2 linked regions of the Notamacropus eugenii genome follow. The protein of the gene in region 1 binds, or shares a complex with, the protein of each later gene. Links are inferred from orthologs where the notes say so. Each region holds a gene or a part of one and is shown on either strand. Other genes may lie near its edges.

Region 1 (10,411 bases):
AGTATCAAATATTCCACCAAGATTCAATTCTTTATGTAAAAATAAAAAAGGATATCCATCTCATTAGTATGCAAATTTGCTTTCATCTTTAATAAATAGTAAAATTATATATGTACCAAAGAATTGTTTTAAAAATAACTTTCTTTATGACATTATCAGTAAATGTTTGATTTGTATACTTATTTTATATATTTACATACCCAGAATCATGTAAAAATTTCTTGGTGAGAAGTAGAAAAGTTTAAGAAGCCCTGTTCTATGTAAAACCTTTCCTGATCCTCTCAACTGTTAGTACCCTCAGTCCCTAAACTACCTTATGTTATTTTGGATCCATTCTATATACACATATGTATACTTGTTTGTTCTGTTGCATGAATTCTTTTAGGATCTTAACTAGCCCCTGGCAATAAAACAGCAAAGGAAACAGACATAGGAAAAACTGCAATTTATTTACTCCGAGAAAGACTCACTCCAGCAATAGATGATGAACACGTATGTTTGTTACAACTCAACTAACGATACTTATACCAGTCTATCATTCATGTAATACGTGAGACAATGTTCTGCTTATTACAGAACAGGGTTGTTCAGAACATAGAAGAAGAAGAAGTATTTGTTATAACAAAAGAAGACGTTAATCACTTATTAGAAAAGGAGGAATGTGCCCTTGTTAGCATAGCTATTCACAACAGATCAAAGGGAACCCTACATCACCTGCCAGACAAATCAAGGCTATTGGAGTCCTTCTTTGCAAAAGCAAACAAACAAAAATCCTTTTATAGTAACTAAAGTCTGACATTCAATTAAAGGAGACATTCAAGGAAGTCTAGCAATATTACACACTAAGGCAATACATGGTAAAATGGTGATTACAGATTGGAGTTAATTATGTCAGCTCCGGAAAGACCAGTTAGTTCCCCCAAAATTCACTTTTGACACTCCTGATAGAATGTAAATTGAAAGCAGTAACTTAGTCCAATTTTTGTTCAGTCATTTTTTTTTTAGCCATGCCCAACTCTTCATGACCCCATTTGGAGTTTTCTTGGCAGAGATACTGAAGTGATTTGCCATTTCCTTTACAGATGAGGAAACTGAGGCAAACGGGGTTAAGTGACTTGCCCAGTGGCACACAGCTAGTAAGTGTCTGAGGCCAGATTTGAACTTAAGAAGATGAGTTTTCCTGACTCCAGTCTCCACACTCTATCCATTGCACCATCTAGGTAGTCAGCACAGAATCTAGTACTTTTAAAAATGTTTGTTGATTGATTGATGTGTGCAGACAGAGTTAACTTCTTCTCTTCTTGACTCTTCTAGAACCCCAAACTTTTCTAGGATGATGTCAAATAAGAGTAGGGATAGAAGATAAGTTCATTTGAGTTCTGTATTTATTAGGCCAGTTTCTAGTGCTTCCCCATGGCAAAAAAAGGCTGACTTTCAGATTAACATACATACTTTTTTTCATAATAAAAAGTGGCCCTTCTATACCAATACTTTAAATGTATTTTTTAAATTTAAATGAATGTTTTACTTTGTTAAAGGTTTTGTCCACACCTATTTCTATAATGATATAGCTTTTATGGGAACAGATTTTGGACCACACATGCAATTTCATTAGTATATGGAAGACCTCATGAGGAAAATCCCTCTCTGAATTCAGATCATCATCTGGTCTGCAACCTAGAGTATAAGAGAGCTAAAGGTTAAGTGTCTTGCCCAAGGTTGCATGTCCCATCACATGTCAGAGACAAGACTTCCACTCAGGTTTTCCCGATTTTGAAGGTCTTCTTGAGTCTGAATCATGCTGCCTTTCTTTGTTTTTCAATATAATTAATATTTTTTCTTTTTCTAATTTTGAACCATCTTAGCATCCCTGGCATAAAGTCAATTGTTTCATAGTAAATAGTTTTTTGTCTATGTTGCTATCGTCTTTTGGCTGGAATTTACTTTAGTTTTAATAAATATTCATTAGTCATATTAGTCTATAGCTCTCTTTCTTTGCTTTATCCTTTATGGTTTAGGATCAGAATTTGATAAGTTTGCTTAATTTTTGAGAATAATTTATGTATCATGGACATTCTTTCTTTTTTTGTTTGATGAAATTTACCTTGGCCAAAGTGTTTCTTTATAGAAAATAGATAGGTGGGGAAAGACAGACAGACAGACAGACAGACAGAGAAAGTTTGATAGTTCCTTTATGCCTTTTTCAATTTCATTTCCTACGATTGGGTTGTTTAAGATTTCTATTTGAAGTTCAGTTAATTCAAGTATTTTATGTTTTAATAGATAATCTATTTCATTTAAAGTCTCTTGTCTTTGATAGTATATAATTGTGTGAAGTGATTCTGATTATATTTTTTTTAAATTCTGCTCTGTTATAATTTCACTTTACTTGATTTTTTTATTCTGATCATTTTATTTCCCTCCCTCTTTTTTTTGATAACTAGGAAAATAACCTTAGCTAAAGGTTTGTTGATTGTATATTTTCAATGGTGCTATTTTTAGGTTTATCATCTTTGTTTTCCACTTTCTCTTTCAATATTTACTCTTTTTTTGCTTTTTTTGTGTTTATTGTTGATTTTCTAGTTTCTAAATGCACATTGTCTTTCTCTTTCTGTCTCTATTTATCTGTCTCTCTCTCCCTTCTTCCAGAATGATGGAGAGGCAGGAAGGGGGAGCTGTTGGGCTGCATGGACAGAGGAACACTCAAGAAATGACTCTCAAAGGTGACACTTGAACATTATTTTTTACCTTATCTACTTATTTTTTTTCTCCAATTCTTCTTTCCTTCTGTTCTCTATGATTCCTTTGGACTTTCTGTCCCTCTTTTCATCACAACTCATCACCAGCAAAACATGGTCTTTCAAGCAATCACCAAAGACTCTAGAGCATGAGTGGGATATCTCTGTTTTATGGACTAAATTTGACCTTCAGCTTAATTTTGTCCGGCCTCCTGGACACAAAGAGATCATTCCACCTATACCTGGTGACATAGTGGTTGCATTCATAGTTAGTAAAAGAAATAAAAGAAGTGTTCATTCTTTCTTCCTCCTTTAGGAGGTACAAAGAAATTCCTGATCAATGTTAGGGGTTATAGAGAGACTCAGACACACCCCTTCCATTGAATGAATAAATAATTGACTTGTCAGCATGTGTGTGGTGCCTTGTTTGTTGTTTTGCCCAAGAAGATTATATGTGCCTACATGGGTCCATAAAGATGTAGTTCATAGATAATCAAGAATAGGTATCTCTAATCTCCCCTGCCCCACTCCTTAAGCTCTTCTCTAAGGAAGACTTTGAATCTTCCTCAGGGAGAAGAAACAGGAGATTAGGGCCTGAGACCCGCCACTCTGGTCTCCTCAAAGAAAGAACACTGGGATAGAACCATATTTTTCTGTTCCTCTAAATATTGTTAGTCTAAAGGGGATATATTTTAGGTTCAAGCTCCTGATTGTTCTCTTAATAGACGAGTGTTCCAAAGCTCTGTATCCAAGATTTGACTCCCTTGCCAACAAATATCAGTTCCACAAGGAGCAAATAAACCCATTTACCTGAGTCTATAACAAAAGAGAAATCAGAAAAAAATATTCACAGGAGAAAACATACCAGACAATACAGAGTAAATGAACTCTCCCAATGGGAGCGAAAAATCTCAGCTCAACTTAAAGAGTCTCAGATCTCACCCTAAGGGAAATTCCCTGAAATCCCTAGTGTATTAAGTTGAGGATAGGAACATAATAGAGAGTGCCAGCTCTGCAATATGTTGGTTGCTTTCCAGAGTCTTTCACTCGCTTCAGGGATCTGAAGGGAGTTTAGAACAAATCTGGAAGCCAGAAGACCAGGATCTTTCCCTTCTCAGACTCCCACCAATCCCTCCCCTCAAGCAGGCATGAACCACTGTGTAATCAATTTTCACTAATGAGAGGACCCTTTGAGTCACAGGTTTTTAGAATGAATAAATGAAAAAGCATTTATGTAAAATGAAAAAGCACTTACTATGTTCAAAGTTCTTTCCTAAGCTTTGGGGATAAAAATAGAAAAGGAGCTCACATTCTAAAGGGGGAAAGGACAGTACATATGGGAAGTTTCAGCTACAAGTCAAATGGAAAAGCATGGTAGGTTCTTAGGGTACAGGAACATGGCAAATGATAAGGAATCTCCTTTAGTGTCCTTTTCATTGATAAAACCATATCTGTTCCTAATTTTTTAAAGACATTTATTCACCATCATGATCGGACTATTACATTTAGCAATCAATAATATGCAAACAAAAAAAGATCTACATTAAAACCCTTTGTGGGAATACTTTCCACAGAACAGAGACTAAAATAACCTGTTATGTAATTAAGTCACAAATGCAGTCCTGCAAATAGCAGAAACAGAACTAGGGATCCAAATTCGTAGAAATTCTCAAAATGTGTGTATACACACAGATATGCTGTATAGTATCATACATTTTTGGATAACAGGAATCTAAGATGCTTTGATTTGTAATGCATGGACCCATTGGCTAGCAGCGTTTCTAAAATTATAACAGCGGTCTCCAACCTACTTTGGGTCATGGACCCCTTTGTCAGTCTGATGAAACCTATGGAGCCTTTTCTCTGAATGTTTTCAAATGCAAAAAACAAAATACATATAATTACAAAGAAAACCATTTATATTGAAATAAAAAGGTAATTTTTTTCCCATCCAACTTCAAAATCTATTCACAGACAAGTTCCATGGATCTCAAATTATGAACTCATGCTCTACAATAATAACAGTAAGCAGTAAACCTCTATGGTTTGCAAAGGGCTTTACATATACTATCCCATTTGATTCCCATAATGACCCCGTGAGGTCAGTGTTGTAGCAAAATAAAAGTAATTTGGGCAAGAATGTATACATATATATGTATACACACACACACACATATACACACATATACACGTACACATATACACACACACACATATATACACATATGGATGTATATATATATATATATATATATATATATATAGAAAGAGAAATACACATCTGGCTAAAGTAGCAAAGGCTGAATAGGGACACTACTACTATGCTTTACACCCAGTAAGGCCTTTAACAATCACAAGAAAGAATGTGAAAGCATGATATCCTTTTCGCAATGAAGAAACTGAAGCTGAGAGGGTTAAGTGACTAGTCCCGGGCGCCGGACAGAAAGCCCGCCCCCCGCCCTACGTAGTTGGCCCCGCCCCCGCTCCTGACAGCGAGGGGCGGTTCTTAGGAGACGCAGGTCAGCGCCCGGGCAGGAGCGCCGTGCGCAAGCGCAAGGCCGAGGCCCTCGGTCTGCGGAGCCAAGGGAAGACTCTCCCGAGGCTGTCGGAAGCGGCGCGGGTGTTTTTCGCTTACGGAAGTGAAGTCAGCGGCAGTGGGCGGAAGACCCGGAACCGGCGGCGGCGTAGGCATCGGTGAGTGGCGTGGCTGCGGGGCCGCCTTGGCCCGGTTCTCCGCTATGAGCTGCACGATCGAGAAGATCCTGACGGACGCCAAGACGCTTCTGGAGCGGCTGCGGGAGCACGACGCGGCCGCCGAGTCCCTGGTGGATCAGTCGGCCGCCCTGCACCGGCGGGTGGCTGCGATGAGGGAGGCGGGCGCCGCGCTGCCGGACCAGGTCAGCCCTAGGCCCGGGGGCCGGGCGGGAGGTGGGGGGTCCTCCCTGCCCGGATGGGCCGGACTCCTTCCGCTCTAGCCTGACTTGGGCGGGGGTTGGTCTGTCTGTTTACCAGTACCAGGAGGATGCCGCGGACCTGAAGGACGCGTCCAGATACAAGCCTCACATCCTGCTGTCCCAGGAGAACACGCAGATCCGAGACCTGCAGCAGGAGAACCGAGGTGAGCGCAGCAGCCTTTCTCCCCCAAATGCCACGCTTTCGAACCCACAGTTTAGGCCAGCTTATTCCCCACGCAGGCCACGAACGGGAGTACAGTGCAGCACCTCCCAACTGGTGAGTTTAATAAGCAAGTCTGTTGCTAAATAACAGTCTTCGTAGAAAATAGGAACAGTCAATAGATGATCCTTTTCAGTATTGTAGGTAATGGAGAAGTCTTAATTTAGTAAGTACTGTTCAAGGGTGTTTTTTAACCCGTTATTACGAATGTGAATATGATCTTATTGAACAAATATGAGTTGTTTCTGCGAAGGACAGTACTTTCAGATGAATTCAGTTCACTATTCTAAAGCAGTGACTTCCTACTTCTTGGTGAAATCCTTAAAATGTTATTCAACTTTACTTAAATTTAAATGTGTGTATGTGTATCTATAGGTGTATATACATACATACATGTGTATATAAACATAGATATACCATAGAGTATCATAAATTTTTGTTGAAGAGGAATCTAAAGTGCTTTGATTAGTAATGTATGGAACATTAGCTAAAATTATAGGCACCATTAGTCGGGGTAAATATGCTGTTAAGTTTTTCAGTCTCCGATGGGGTGGAGATTCTTCACTGTCTCAGATATCACTGCCAATTTATTTTACTTATTCTTTGATAGAGTTGTGGATTTCCTTGGAGGAACACCAGGATGCTTTGGAACTCATCATGAGCAAGTACAGAAAACAGATGCTACAATTAATGATTGCTAAAAAAGCAGTGGATGCTGAACCTGTCTTGAAAGCCCACCAGTCTCATTCTTTAGTAAGAAGTTTCACAATAAATATCTGTTAAATTGAATTGAATCTAGAAATTGTTTTTATAAATTTCTTGCCCTATAGAGAGCTTTCTTAAGGAGTTTAACTCAGAAAGAGAAATATAAAGGATAAGAACTGGCAGGGATAGTAGGATTTTTTTTTCCTCAAGAAAAGTTATCTTTCTTTTTATGTTTATCACTTTATTGTTAATGTTTTAATAATATCCTTGCTCTGAGGCCTGTGTTTGCTATGATTTTATACCATAAAAGAGTGGTAAATATGAAAGAGAAGAATCAATAGCGGAAATAATTGCATTCTTATGGACTGTTTATGGAGGTCAGAGCTGTGTATTTACTTTACCCTGAATGATATCAAGTGTTTGTAAGACCTTTCACTGTAGTCATTCAAAAAGCTTTTTTTTTTTTTTTTTTAAGCTCTTACAGAGTATACAGTATTTGACCAGGTGGGAAGTACTCAGTGAATCCTTAATGACTCAGGGAGGAGAGAGTGGAAGAAATACAGCTTCTATTCAAGTACTTGAGGAATTTGTCATTTAGCTGGAGAAAGCCAATACATAGGAACTTGAAGAGCATTTGCTATAGATTACAGTATAGTGTGAGACAGAGACAGACCCCTTCAAGACAAGAAGGGTTAGAAAGATATGGGCATGTAGATATGGAAAGGTCCAGCCATTGATTAGATAGGTGAGATATTGATTAACTGGGATGATGTTACTCAGTCTTCTCATAAGCATTTTACTTTTTGTTTTGTTTGTTATTCTTCCTACAGGCAGTGCAGAATTAATATACTTAATATCTTAACAGGAAATTGAAAGTCAGATTGATAGAATCTGTGAAATGGGAGAAGTGATGAGGAAAGCTGTTCAGGTGGATGACGACCAGTTTTGCAAGATTCAGGAAAAACTAGCCCAACTGGAGGTAAGAATATTGTTTTTGCTATCAGAAAAGTATATCTTTCAGTCATAGCACCTTAATGATGATGTCTCAGCAGATGACTCTCAAATCTGTGTATGCAACCCTAATCTCTCTCTTGAACTCTGGTCCTATACTGCTAACTGCCTGGTGTCCCGTAGGCATTTTAAACTCAACATGTCCAACTATCTTTCCCCAAAAATCTATTCCTCCTTCATACTACTTTGGTTTCTTTTGAGGGCACTACCATCCTTATGGGCTGTAGTCTCAGTTTTGGAGAAAATGACTTGACTTCCACGAACAAATCCAGTGACTTGTCAAGTCTTGCTGTTTCCCCCTCCTCTTCACTGTCTCCTCCCTGTCAGTTAACAAGGATTCACTGAGTGCTTCCTAAGGCCAAACACTGTAGTAACATCTCTTTCATCTGTTCTCTTTTTTTCTCCTTCCTGTTCTACCCTCGTTCAGGATTTTATATGCTCTGATAGACTATTACAGTTGCCCTCTAACTGATACCCCTACCTGCAGATACATCCTCTAATCCGTTTTCCACATACCCCTTACTCAAAACTCTCTGATGGCCCCCTGTTTCCTCTATAAAACACATTTAAAGAATGCTACAACTAGCACCCACCTACCATTCCAGTTTTATTTCATAGGATTTCTCTTACCATACTTTCTTTAGTTGTTCACTGTATTGATATTCCAACTCTTGCAAGTGCAAGTGATCCCCTCCTATCTGGAATACCTTCCTTCCTCATCTTCATCTTATTCCCTAGCTTCTATCAGAGCTCACACTGCTACCTTCACGAGGCTTTTTCTAATCACATTAGTTATTGGCATTCTCTCTTGAAACTGCTTTGTATTTTCTTGTACTAATTTTGGATCTCTAGTGGAATGTCCCTCAACAGCAAGAATTGTTTCCTTTTATCTTTGTGTCATGTGTATCTTCTGTATATTAGGCATCTTAATAAATGTTTTGTTGAAATGACTTAAATTGAATGATTTTAAGATTAAAACATTCCCCTTCCTCCCTGCAGGTCGGAGCTGTACAGTTACTTTACTTTTTGTTTCCCTGAGACCTTTTGTTATATTCATTCAATAAGCATTTTCTTTTTCTATATCCTACAGAATGTTCAGTGTTGGACACATGGAAGGTTTTCAGTAAATCCTGATTACAAGGATAGAGGAGTGTAGAAGAAATAAAATGTACTGTTTTTAATTTTGAGGAATTGATAATTTTAGCTAGTGAAAGCTAATAACACTGGTACTTCAGGATAAACACTATTTTTATGGAGCAAAATATAGTAATATAGTATAAAATAGTTCCTTTCAAGGGAATTATTTTTTGCAGGTAAAAAATAAGTTTCAAATATGTCATCTTAACTAAACATGAAAATAACTTACCCTAGAAATAGGAAAATTAAAAATAATTTAATAGTGCCTTTTTATTTTTCTTTTAAAAATACATTTTATTGATGTCCTTATTTCTCAACATATTCCTTTTCCTCCCTCACTCAAGCAATCTTCATGACAATTTTTTTAAGGAGAAAAAATGTTTAGCAAAACTAACCAACTTATTAAAAACTGTTTGACATTTTATATATAGTGTTCTACATCCACTGTCTCCCAACTTGGCAAAGAACTTATGCTTTGGGGCTAGGATAAATTGTAATTTGGCAACATTCAAAATTTTGTTTTTGTTCTTTAAATTTTTTTTAAAATTCTGAACTTAAACTCACCCCATTTGAAAAAATTTATTATATGTGGCAGAACAGAAAAAAAGGATGACCCAATTTCATACCATTTGCTTTTTCAAATAGCATGTAACAAATTCCATACCATACTTTCAATTGGGTCCTGTTTATCTGTCCTTTCTTTGGAATTTCCATTTTCAACCACTTGGTAAATCTGTTCAACTCTACATTCAAATCCTTGCCACACCTTTCTTCTCCCTCCCCAATTCCCATCACTGACCATACCCTGCTAAACTACAACTTTGTGTATTGCTTCCACCACCTTCTTCACTTTTGTTCATGTGCTGCTGAATGGAGCTAGAAAAGAATCACAAAATTATGCTTAGTCCACTACAAACATATGTTATAGATTCTCAACTGTCTCCTCTGCAGCAGGACCATCCTTTTGCACCTCCCTAATTGATTCATTCTGTCACTCACCACCATGGCTTTTCCAAATGTTTTCATCCTTCCTGAGACGTCCCATAGTACCCATTTCCCCTTTTCTATGCTGAGAACATTGTCTTATATTTCTCCAAAAAAACTAAAGCCACCCACTCAGAGCTACTTCTTGCCTCCTCACATCACTCAATTGTCTTCTTCCTTTTTCATATTTCTTGAATGAAGAGGTGGTCCTTCTTGCCAGGACAAATCCCTTTATATATACCCTTGATGCCATCTTATCTTCCTCAGTAGACTGCTTCCCTTGATAGCTCCACTTTCTAATCTTTAACCTTTCCCTATTTACTGGCCCTGCTGCCTACAAACATGTCCACATCTTTTGTATTCTTAAAAAAAAAACTTCACTCAGTTCTACCATCCCTGCGCTAGCTGTCATCTTACATATTTTTCTCTTTCTGGACTAAACTTGAGAAAGCTATTTACAGAAGCACAGCCAAGATGGTGGAATAGAGAGAGCATTCCAGCAGAACTCTCCCAACAACTTGAAAATAATGCATAAAATCAAATTCTGGAGAGGTGTAACCAACAAAAGGTCAGAGTGAGGCATTTTTCCGCCCCAAACTACTTAGTAGTCAGACAGAGATCTGTGACACTGCGGTGAGGATGGACCATGATAGCACAGCACA
Region 2 (10,411 bases), on another chromosome or scaffold:
AAATGGTAATTACACAATTTGTTATATCCTATGCATACGTGGAGGGAGAGAAAGTTCAGCGTTTGATCATTAATCAGATTTAGAGAACTATTCTTTGTTGTGCCTTGGAATTCCTTAGAATTATTTGCTGGTCTTTCACACTGGTGGTTTTTTTTTTTTTTAATAAGAATGTTGCAAATGCCTGTTCTTCCAAGACTGAAAGTGCCGTGATTTGGGTTCAAGAAGTGGTAAAACTGACATCCTGCCACGGAAAAGAAAGCTACTTTATAACTCTCACTGTTTCTCAAATTGTGTGGAGTTGTTTTTGGACAATTACAATTGTGCATTTATCTACAGTTAGGCAAAGGAATGTCCAGAGACCTTGATGTAATGTATGTAGTGCCTTACAATGTACACGGTGTTCTACCCAGAACCCTTGTGAGATATACATTGTCTCATCTCCATTTTACAGAGAAGGAAACTGATTCTCAGAGATGTGGATTTACTTGGGCAGGATTGCAGACACTGCTAAGTGCCAAGTCAACAAGCATTCATTAAGCACCTACTATGTGCTAGGCACTGTGCTAGGTACTTTGGATACAGAGAAAGGCAAAAAGAGTCCTTGTTTTCCAGGAGCTCTTAGTGTAATGAGGAACTCACAATGGCAGCCAGGCCTTCTGAATCCTAGGCCAAAACTCCTTCTACTTCATCACTTTGCCTAAAACAGTAGGTCTGAGATTCTCTGCCTGTCATGCTTATTGAGGTTTGTTTGATTAAGGTGTGGTGAAAGACCTTCAAAAGATTATGGACTTTTCTAAGTCATTTTTTTGGTGCATACATATAAATGTGGAATCCCTTAAATGGCCTCCTTGGATTGTGTCAGCAGGTCCAGCCTTTTGGGGAGTCAGGATTGAAGTGAGGCTTTAAGGGATTTGTTGAATAGAAAGCAACTTCCAAACAATTTTGCAATTATTCTCTTTATTAAAAAAAACAAACAAAAAAAGCCCCCAAAAACAAAAAACCTCAAACCAAACAAAGTTGTTTCAGTCAGGTCTGATTCTTTGTGATACCATTTGGGTTTTCTTGGTCAAAGATTTTGGAATGATGTTAGCCATTTCCTTCTTCAGCTCACTTTACAGATGAGGAAACTGAGACCCACAGAGTTGTGACTTGCCCAAGGTCACACAGTAAGTATCTGAGGCCATATTTGAACTCAGGTCTTCCTGACTCTGGTGTTGTATCCACTGTACCACCCAGCTGCCCCTTAGTATAAGGTATTTAAATGTATAATTATGTGGTGTTGGCAATGCAACTGTGGTTGTAACTAGTAGCTCTGGTTTCCTTCTCCTGTTGAGAACTACATCTTCCAGCAGTTTCTGGGCATTTGAAGACCCAACCATATGAGAAGATGTGTCTTACTAGAAGGGAAAGTCCTTTCTAGCCAGAAGGAAGATAATAGAGTGTTAACAAGTACAAAAAAGAAGGTTGTGGGGGCCTACATTGGAAATACCCCAGAGGGCCTGGATTCAAATCCATCTTTTTTTTTTTTAATTAAATTATTTTATTTATTTTCAGTGTCCTAGATTTTTTTCTCCTCCCTTCTCACTCCCTCCCTGACACTGCCTTTAATCTTATATAGGTTCTACACATACATTCCTATTAAATACATTTTCACCTTAATCATGTTAAATAGAAGAATTCAAATGAATGGGAGAAACCATAAAACAAAACAAAACATAATACTAAAGAAAATGATCTGCTTCTTTCTGCGATCCAATTCTACAGTTCTTTCTCTGGATGTGGAAGGCATTTTGCTTCAAGAGTTCATTGGGAATTTTTTAAGTCCTTGCACTGCAATGAAGTACTAAGTCTACCTGAAAAATTTCCCGTACACACTGCGGTTGTTGCTGTGTACAAAGTTCTCCTGGTTCTGCTCCTTTCACTCAGCATCAGATCATATAAGTCTTTCCAGACCTCTCTGAAGTCTTCCTGTTCATCATTTCTTATAGCACAATAGTATTCCATTACATCAAATCCCTCTTTGAACTCTTACCATCTGCATGACCTTGGGTAAGTCCTTTCATCTTTGGGGCCTCAGTTTCCTCATCAGGAAAATGAGGTCAGCTAAGTGGTAGTGGCCAATAGATTACCTGGCCTGGAGTCAGAAAGACTCATCTTCCTGGGTCCAGCCTCAGACACTTCCTAGCTGTGTGACCCTGGGCAACCGACATAACCCTGTTTGCCTCAGCTTTCTCATCTGTAAAATGAGCTGGAGAAGGAAATGGTGAAGTACTCCAGGATCTTTGCCAAGAAAATCCCACAGGGGATTTACAGAGTTGGACACCACTGAACAACAACTTCTGCTTCCAGATCCAAAGCTTGTATCCTGAGATCACAGAAACAAAAATAGTAGGGAAGGAGAAAACTCACCTTTTCCAGCCCCTGCCTCTCTCCCAAACCTTTTTCCTTCTCACTTAGAGGTGATTTTCTTTATGATTTTTTAGACTTCTTATGGAGTTCACCTGGGAGTCCACCTGTTGGGACTTCAATGATAATAAACTTTTATAGTTTTTATTACAGTGTATTTTATAAAATCTATAGTCTCTGGACCTTCTTTTCCTGTTTGTAAAATGGGAATGGGGACAAGGGTAAGGAAGAGCAGACAGGAGGTTGGCTTTCTTAATCTCTAAGTCTCTCTCTACTAATAGCCATTGGTTTACAGTTGGAAGGGACCTTGGAACTCATCCAGTCCACTTAACTCCTTTCAGAGGAGGTAGCTGAGGCCCAGAGAGGGAAAATGACCTGCCCGAGCAATAGTAATAACATGTATGGAGTACTTACTGTGTTCTAGGCCAGGTGCTAGGTCCGGGAGACTCAGAGAGGCAAATGTAAGTGTTGCCCTAAGGGAGCTTACCGATCTACACATATGTAGGAGGGCACATACTCCATACTCCTACATATGTGTATTCCTACATGTGTACTCCTACATATGTGTAGATGGATAGAATTTGTATATATGTGTGCAGATAGATATATATCATATTATATATCTATTGTGACATATAAATAGTATATTTCTATTATATCTTATATCTAATGTATAGATCTAATATATATACACGTATACATTTTATGACCTCGTTCCATTTTACCATATATTTATCCATATATATTTATATTCGTTATACATAAATGTATATGATAAATTGGAGGAAGGGCATAAAATTACTAAAGGGCAGCAGCTGGATTTGAACTCACGGTCTTAGGTGGTATGGAGGCGAGGGACGGCAGGAGGAGGAGGGGAAGGTGTTAAGCCACAGCGCGCCCAGTCACAGGGGCTTACGTCAGAGCTGGGAAGGAGGGAGGGGGAGGGGTCAAGGGCAGGGGAGTAACGAGACGATAAGGCCGAAATGCGCATGCTCAGTCACTAGGGCCGAGCTTCGGGGCTAGTAAGCATCTGTCCTTTGGGACTGGTATTGGCGCCTCCCCCGCCTCGGATTTCGACTTCGCTTTGCACGACTTCCTCAAGCATCGCGAGAGGTGCTTGCCCACAGCTAAGATGTCTGCCAATGCGCTTTGCCCCTGGGGGGGAGGCTTCTCGTCCCAGAGAAGCATCGCGGCGAGTCCCCCGAGCGCAGGTTCACCTCCCCACTGTCAGACAACGTCTCTTCATGAGGACGAGGCCCGAGGCGCCCGCCGCCACGCTAGGCCCCGGCCCGTAGGCCACTCCCCACTCCCCAGCCTTCGCTGCCCTTAAGCAACATGGCGGCCCGCGCCTCTCGGAGAGCCCCACCCCCGCCAGGACGGCTCCCGGAGCAGCCCGCCCCGCGCCCCGCCCCGGCCTCTTTTTGCCCACACCCAATAGGGCCCCCGCGGCGTCGGTCACGTGGGCCTGGGAGTACGGCGCGGGAGAGGGGCCGGGCGGGCGGGCTAGTGCAGGGTGCGCGCTCCCGCGGCCGGCCGTCCGTCCGTCCCGCTGGTAGGTCTCCGTCAGAGTCACTATGGCGGCCGGGGCCGGGGCCGGGGCCGGGGTCGGGGCCGCGGGTGGGGCGGGGAGGGCCGGCGGGGCGGCGGGGGGCGCCTGACGGGCCGGGAGGGCGGGCGGCGCCTGACGGCGGCCGGTCACGGTTCTTGTCGCCCGCAGGTCGGAAAGTTTGGCGGCGGCGCCGCGTGAGCCGGGGCGGGCGGCCGGAGAGGGCCCCGCAGGCCAGCGCTCGAGGCGGCGAGAGAGCCCAGAGGAGCGGCGACCGACCCCCCACGCGCCGCCGCGGACACGCGGGAGCCCAGCCCGGGGCCGCCCCCGGCGCGCGATGCGCGGCCCCCGCTAGCGCGATCCCTGCTGGGGCGAGGAACCGAGGCGGCCCACGGACGATTCGGCCGGCCCACGGGAAGGGGGGACCCCGCTCCGCGCGGCAGGGCCGTCAGTGCCCACGCGAGACCGGGTCCCCGCTCGCGTGCCCTCGGGCGCCCCCCGAGTGACTCCCGGAGCGGCCGCGGGTGGATGCAGGAAGCCCCCTCCAATGTGGTTGGAGCCCCTGGGTGCTGAGCCCCAGGGGGATGGAGTGAGGGGCGCCCCCCACGCGCCCCCCGGCCATGCCCGGACCGCTCCCACGGTGGTGACCCGCGGCGACCCCCACGCGCGTGCGGGGCCGATGCTGTCTGCGCTCTGATCCGCCTGCTGGGGTGGGAGGACACACGTGGCGCGGCCTGCTCGGCAGCGTGGCTCAGGACGAGCTCCTCTTCGGACCCGGGCCTGGCTGGAGCGGGCTCCCCGAGCTGTCCTCAATGCCTTCGGCCCTGGCCATCTTCACTTGCCGCCCCAACTCGCACCCGTTCCAGGAGCGCCATGTCTACCTGGACGAGCCCATCAAGATCGGGCGCTCGGTGGCCCGGTGCCGGCCGGCCCAGAACAACGCCACCTTCGACTGCAAGGTGCTGTCCCGGAACCACGCACTGGTCTGGTTCGACCACAAGACGGGCAAGGTGAGGGGCCGCGCCGTGCCGCGGGGTGCTGGCGGCCGTGGGCGTGGGCAGCGGGAAGTGGTCAGCGGGCAGGGGGCAGCGGGGCTGGACAGCCCTTGGGCAGGGGCAGCCTTGGGCAGCGGGGCTGGACAGCCCTTGGGCAGGGGCACGGGCAGGGGCAGCGGGGCTGGAGAGCCTTTGGGCAGGGGCACGGGCAGGGGCAGCGGGGCTGGAGAGCCTTTGGGCAGGGGCACGGGCAGGGGCAGCCGGGCTGGAGAGCCTTTGGGCAGGGGCACGGGCAGGGGCAGCGGGGCTGGAGAGCCTTTGGGCAGGGGCACGGGCAGGGGCAGCCGGGCTGGAGAGCCTTTGGGCAGGGGCAGAGTGGCTGGACAGCCCTCGGGCAGGGCCCCACCTTCTCCTGACCCAGGCTGGCCCCCTGGCCCGGGCACAGCCTGCCCAGGAATGACAGGTCACCCGAGGCCGAGATTGCCTCCTGGCTGCGTCCCGCCTGGTTCTTAAAGTTGACCCCGAGTCTCCCCGACTTGACTGTAGAGGGTTCAAGCTTTCCAAAGAGGATGTAAGAATCTAGGACCAGCCATTAGGACGCTTTGCAGTCACTTGGAAGAAAGTTCTTTGGAATTCTCTGGAATTCCTTGATTCTGAAATTATGGTGATGCAGAGGCAGTGGGCTTTTCAAAGCAAATGACATCTGTGCCCGGGACTTGGGTGAGAGCAGAGAAAGACGTTTTAATGTTCTTGTCCGGTGCCAGTACACTGCCTTCCTTACCTGTGGAAGATACTTCTCTTATGTCCTCTCTGCAAGTGTTCAGCTTGTGTGCCAACCAGGCTTCCCGGAACCCAGTGGTAGGACAGGTAGAGAACCTCCCATCGCCAGTCAGCTCTTTCCCCTTCACTTCTCATTAGGTGTTTGATTTGCCCTCGTACAGATGAGTGGATGGACTTCCTACACTCTGAGACACCTCGGGTAGACATTTTAAACACCACTTTAAATTTTGGGGGAAAAATAGTGATTGGTAACATGAAGGAATCCTTTCTAGGACTGTGCAGAGATAATATCCCAGTGGCTTAGTTGGATATGACTAAGAGTCTTAACAGAAGTGGGCGGTTTTTGGCAGGGGAATTGAGATGACATGTTAAAAATTTGTACAAAGCGTGTTCTTGAAAGCTCTGCAACCACAGTTACCTTTTTAAATGAAACGACTGGATCATTCCTAACATCTTCTCTTTCCTCACTACCTAAAAGAAGATGGTTTGTTAATAGCGTAGTCACTGACTGAATTAATCAATCCATGACCAATCAGATTGAACCACATTGCAGTACAGGCTATTTTAGCTAGTAGTCCTTTGGAATTGTGAGTTACCTCGGATAGAGAGACCAGCTAAATGACCATGTTAGTTAGTGCTGATGTTCTTGGGAGAAATGTCCATTGTGAGAAATCTTATGTTACTCTATTTCTCCCTTTTCCCTGACTCCTTACCCCCCTCCCTCCAGCAGCCACCAGTTTAGGACAGGTTCTAAATTTCATTTACTTTACACTGAACCCCTTAAAGGGGAAATAGCAAATTTAATTAGGTACTTGTTCCTAAAGTTCAGAGGACTTTGCGTCATCTCATTGAAACAAACTCTAAGGAACTGTCCAGCTTCTTTGGTTAATACTGGACTTTGCAGAGAGAAAGAGTTGGAAGGAAATCTCTGGGACCTAGAACATCTTCTGTTAGAGGAGATTTTTGTTCCAAATGAAATAGAACAGAGGGACCTGACTTGATAGTCTGCCTCCTGACACACTGGGCCCATCTTTCCTGCTCTGTAAATTAAGACATTGGACTAGCTGGCCTCCAAGGTCCCTTCCAGCTCCATAAACTTTTAAATAATAAATACATAGTTCTGTCATGTTATTTTCACAACCATGGAGGTAGGCCCTATTGTTACCTCCATTTTACAGGTGAGGAAACTGAGGCAATTTCTTACCCAGGTTGACACGGCTAGAAGGTGTGAGACTGTATTTGAACTCAGGGCTTTCTGACTCTGGATCTAGTTCTCTATGCACTGTACCATTCAACTTCTACTTTTACTTTACCTGTGTGATCTTGTGACAGGCCCTCAACTTACCTAACCTGGACCTCAGTTTGGTCATTTATGAAATGAGACAGTTGTACTTCATAGTTTCCATGGTCTCTAGTTCACGTTTATTAGGCTTTTAAGCTTTGCAGAGTTTTGTTTTAGCAGTCGGGCAGTCAGAAAGAATTTGCTATGCACCTGTGATTTGCTGAGCATTGATGACTCAGAGAGAGGCCAAAGACAGTGTCTGCTCTCAGGGAGCTCCCAGTCTAATGGCAAAAACAAGCTGGAGACAACTTGGTATGGATAAGATCTAGACAGGATAAATTGGAGATAATTAGCAGTGACTGGTGGGAAATCCCTAGCATTAACGGAGACCCGCAGAGGCTTCTTGGAGAAGGTGGATTTAGCAGGGACTTGAAGGGATGAAGGAGGCGGTGATGAGGAGGGAGAGCCTTCCAGGCCTGGGGAGCAGCTGGAGAGAATGCCTGGAGCCAAGGGAAGGAGGGTCTTGTTTGAGGAGCAGCCAGGAGGCTTTTATGGTTACTGGATCCCAGACTACCTGTTGGGGAGTGAGGTGTAGGAAAGCTGGCAAGGGAGGAGGGGGCTCTAAATGCCAAACAAATGGAGCATTTTGTATTTGATCCTTCAGCTGAGAAGAGCCCCTGGAATTGACTGGATAGAGAGGGGTGGCATGGTCAGGCCTGTACTTCAAGAAGGCTACTTTAACAGCCTGAGTGAAGGATGAACTAGAGTGGGGACAGATGAGTGTGGGAGGCCAGTTGTCCAAGAGTGAGACAGTGAGGGCCTGAGCCAGGATGGAGCAGTGTCAGAGGAGAGAAGCGGGCATGTTCAAGGGATGTTAGGAAGGTAAAGGCAATAGGACTTGACCCCTGGATATGGGGGGCCAGAGAGTGAGAGCTTGTGGAGCCTATGCCATGGGAGCCTCAGCAGTGACAGGGAAGTGAGGAAGAGAGGAGAGCTTTGGTGGAAAGGTCACCAGGTCAGTCTGGGGCCTGTTGGCTTAAGCTGTCTGTGAATCATACTTTTGGAGACAGCCAGTTGGTAAGATTTGAGTTTGGAGGTGAGGAGAGAGGCCAGGGCTGGAAATCTGAGGACTTTCCGTGTAGTTCCTTTATCAGATGAGGGAACAGAAGCCTAGAGCGTTAAGTGTTTTGCCGGTAGTCCCCCAGTAGGTTACTGTTTAAGGTGGAATTTGAATTCAGGTCTTGACTCCACATCCAACTGTCTGTTATTTCCTGCTTTACTATTAATGTGTTAACTGATTTGTCAACTGGTAGAGACTCACTTTTAAATTCCAAGCTTCTGGTGGACTCCAAGTGATCCCTTTAAGGTCAGATTTACACACAATGTGCTGTGATTCTTTGTGCCCTGATAGAACAGAAAGTAAAGATGAGATGAAGGATATGCTAAGAGAACTGATAACCCTGGCACTTTCTAAGCTTGTCTCTCCAGGCCCAGTGTTCTCTGTCTACTCGATGTGTCAGACTGAGGCCAAGGGGCTATGGAAAGCTGGCCCTGGGGTCCAGTCATTAGGATCAGCCTGCCTCTGATGACTTGGGTGATGTGGGGACCCTCTGTGGGGAGGAGCCAGCAGACAGGGAGGATCCAGGCCCTCTCTTCTATCACTTTAGTGCCCACTAGTGACAAGGTCTCCAGAAGTGTATAAAAGTCCTTGGGAGTCAACGCATTTATTACAAACCAGCTCCTGTGCTGAAGGTGCTTGCCACAATTCCCTTGTTCTGTTACATGTATACACAGTGATTGGAGAAAGAAGAGAGAAGGAATCAGGAGAGGCTTCCTGGAGAAAGAGGTCCCTGAACCGAGCTGGGAAGGAAGCAAGGGGATAAAGTGATGGGAGCTTTGGGGCATCCCCTGGAGGAGTGGTGATGGAGCTGTTTGTCCTGCAGTACGCTCTGAAGAGCGTTGGTGGCAAAGCATTTGGAAAGATTTGGCAGGAGCCAGCCCGGAATGGGCAGCAGGAAACCATGGAAGCTTGTGGACCAAGGCAGTGAAAGTGTCCAGACTTCTCCTCCTGGGAGAAGCCACCCTTCCTTTAAGACATAGCCCAGGTTCTGCCCTTGTCCTTCCTCCCAAACCTAGCCTCTGCTCATTTTGTAGTATTCTATACTTAGATATGACTGCCTGTGATATCCCATGTAAGCTCCTTGAGGACAGGAACTGTTTGCTGCTAGAATGTCCTTAGTGAGTGCTTAATATGTGCTTGTTGATTGACTGACTGACTGCTTTAGGAAGATTATTTTGGTTATTTTTGGAGTATGGATGAGACCAAGGAGATACTGAAAACAGACCAAGGAAGGGTCCAGTAGAGAGATGAGCTAAGGGAGTGAGCCTGTGAATGGAGAGAAGGGGCCAGCGCTCAGAGACACTATAGTGATAACTATACATAGACATGAAGACTGAATGGCAGAGAGGGTGAGGAAGAGTCAGGAGTTGTGAATGACTCCAGGCTTGTGAACCTGGGTGATGAAAAGGAAGGGAAGCCATTGTGGACAGTGGGAGGTGGACAGATTTATTTAGTAGGTGTTTGGTGAAATGGAGCTTGGGAGCAAGACGGTAGCCCGATGCATAAAGTTGAGAGTCATCCACAGAGACACGGTTGACTCAGTGAGGGGTGATGTAGAGAAAAAAGGAGGGCCTAGGATAGAGCCTTGGGAAAAGACCCAGGGTTAAGGGTGGGTTCAGGAAGGAGACTATGATGGGACAGTTAGGGAGGTTGAGCATCAGGCCAGAAGATGGGTGGGTCAGTGGTGTCAGAGGCCACCAGGGTTCGAGAAGGATGAGGAATTGGGGAGCCTTTAAAGAATGTGGGTGAGAGGTGAGTGACAACCCAGCCATGGTGTGAGGAAGATGAGACGGAGTCAGTGTGATCCGTGATCGACAGGGCAGCTGAGCGGCTGTTGGTTGTGGGAGTTAGAGAAGCAACCATTTCAGCAAGTGTTGCAAACTTCATGGCACGATGTGGATGGATGGGCATTTGTTTGCATTAGATATGAGTTTGAGGAAATTGAGAATGTTTATCAGGCACTAGTAAATGAAGAACAGTTTTGAAGGCCTGGGCTCCTTTTTCATTTAATTTTTAATTATGTCTCAGGACAACAAAAAAGAAAATGTTAAAAGGATAAATTCTTTCAGTCTGTTTAGAGGAAGAATCATGTACAAGCATGAAAATAGGATTAAACTTTTTTTCTATCATCTTTTGGATTCTTTGTCTTGATAAGAGTACCCCCCCCCCCCCCCCCCCCCGCCCCAGTTGCCTCTCTAAAGGGATAAGGCTAGGGATTGGTTCTGTTTTTATTGATAGAGGGAACACCCAAATGAGGAAACTCCCTTTACCAATGCAGGTTG

Evidence for each region.
Region 2: the proteins of SIKE1 (region 1) and SLMAP are in contact, whole or in part, in a crystal structure (PDB 6AKM), measured with the Homo sapiens proteins. The link is inferred for Notamacropus eugenii from reciprocal best matches to the Homo sapiens genes SIKE1 and SLMAP. Residues at the interface, in NP_079349.2 of Homo sapiens: Ile5, Ile8, Leu9, Ala12, Lys13, Leu16, Leu19, Arg20, His22, Asp23, Ala26, Glu27, Leu29, Val30, Ser33, Ala34, Leu36, His37, Val40, Met43, Arg44; in NP_001291349.1 of Homo sapiens: Leu168, Tyr171, Leu172, Glu174, Ala175, Arg178, Glu179, Met181, Leu182, Lys185, Thr188, Leu189, Leu192, Leu193, Ile195, Thr196, Ala199, Ser200, Thr202, Ser203.

Annotation. Positions count from the first base shown.
Region 1 is NC_092873.1:294,106,089-294,116,499, reverse strand, and holds the start of SIKE1 (suppressor of IKBKE 1), read left to right. Parts: upstream 1-5,290; 5' UTR 5,291-5,476; coding exon 5,477-5,635; intron 5,636-5,750; coding exon 5,751-5,856; intron 5,857-6,522; coding exon 6,523-6,665; intron 6,666-7,482; coding exon 7,483-7,596; intron 7,597-10,411.
Region 2 is NC_092874.1:467,539,369-467,549,779, reverse strand, and holds the start of SLMAP (sarcolemmal membrane-associated protein), read left to right. Parts: upstream 1-4,370; 5' UTR 4,371-4,764; coding exon 4,765-4,962; intron 4,963-10,411. UniProt on the Homo sapiens protein: Associates with the striatin-interacting phosphatase and kinase (STRIPAK) core complex, forming the extended (SIKE1:SLMAP)STRIPAK complex.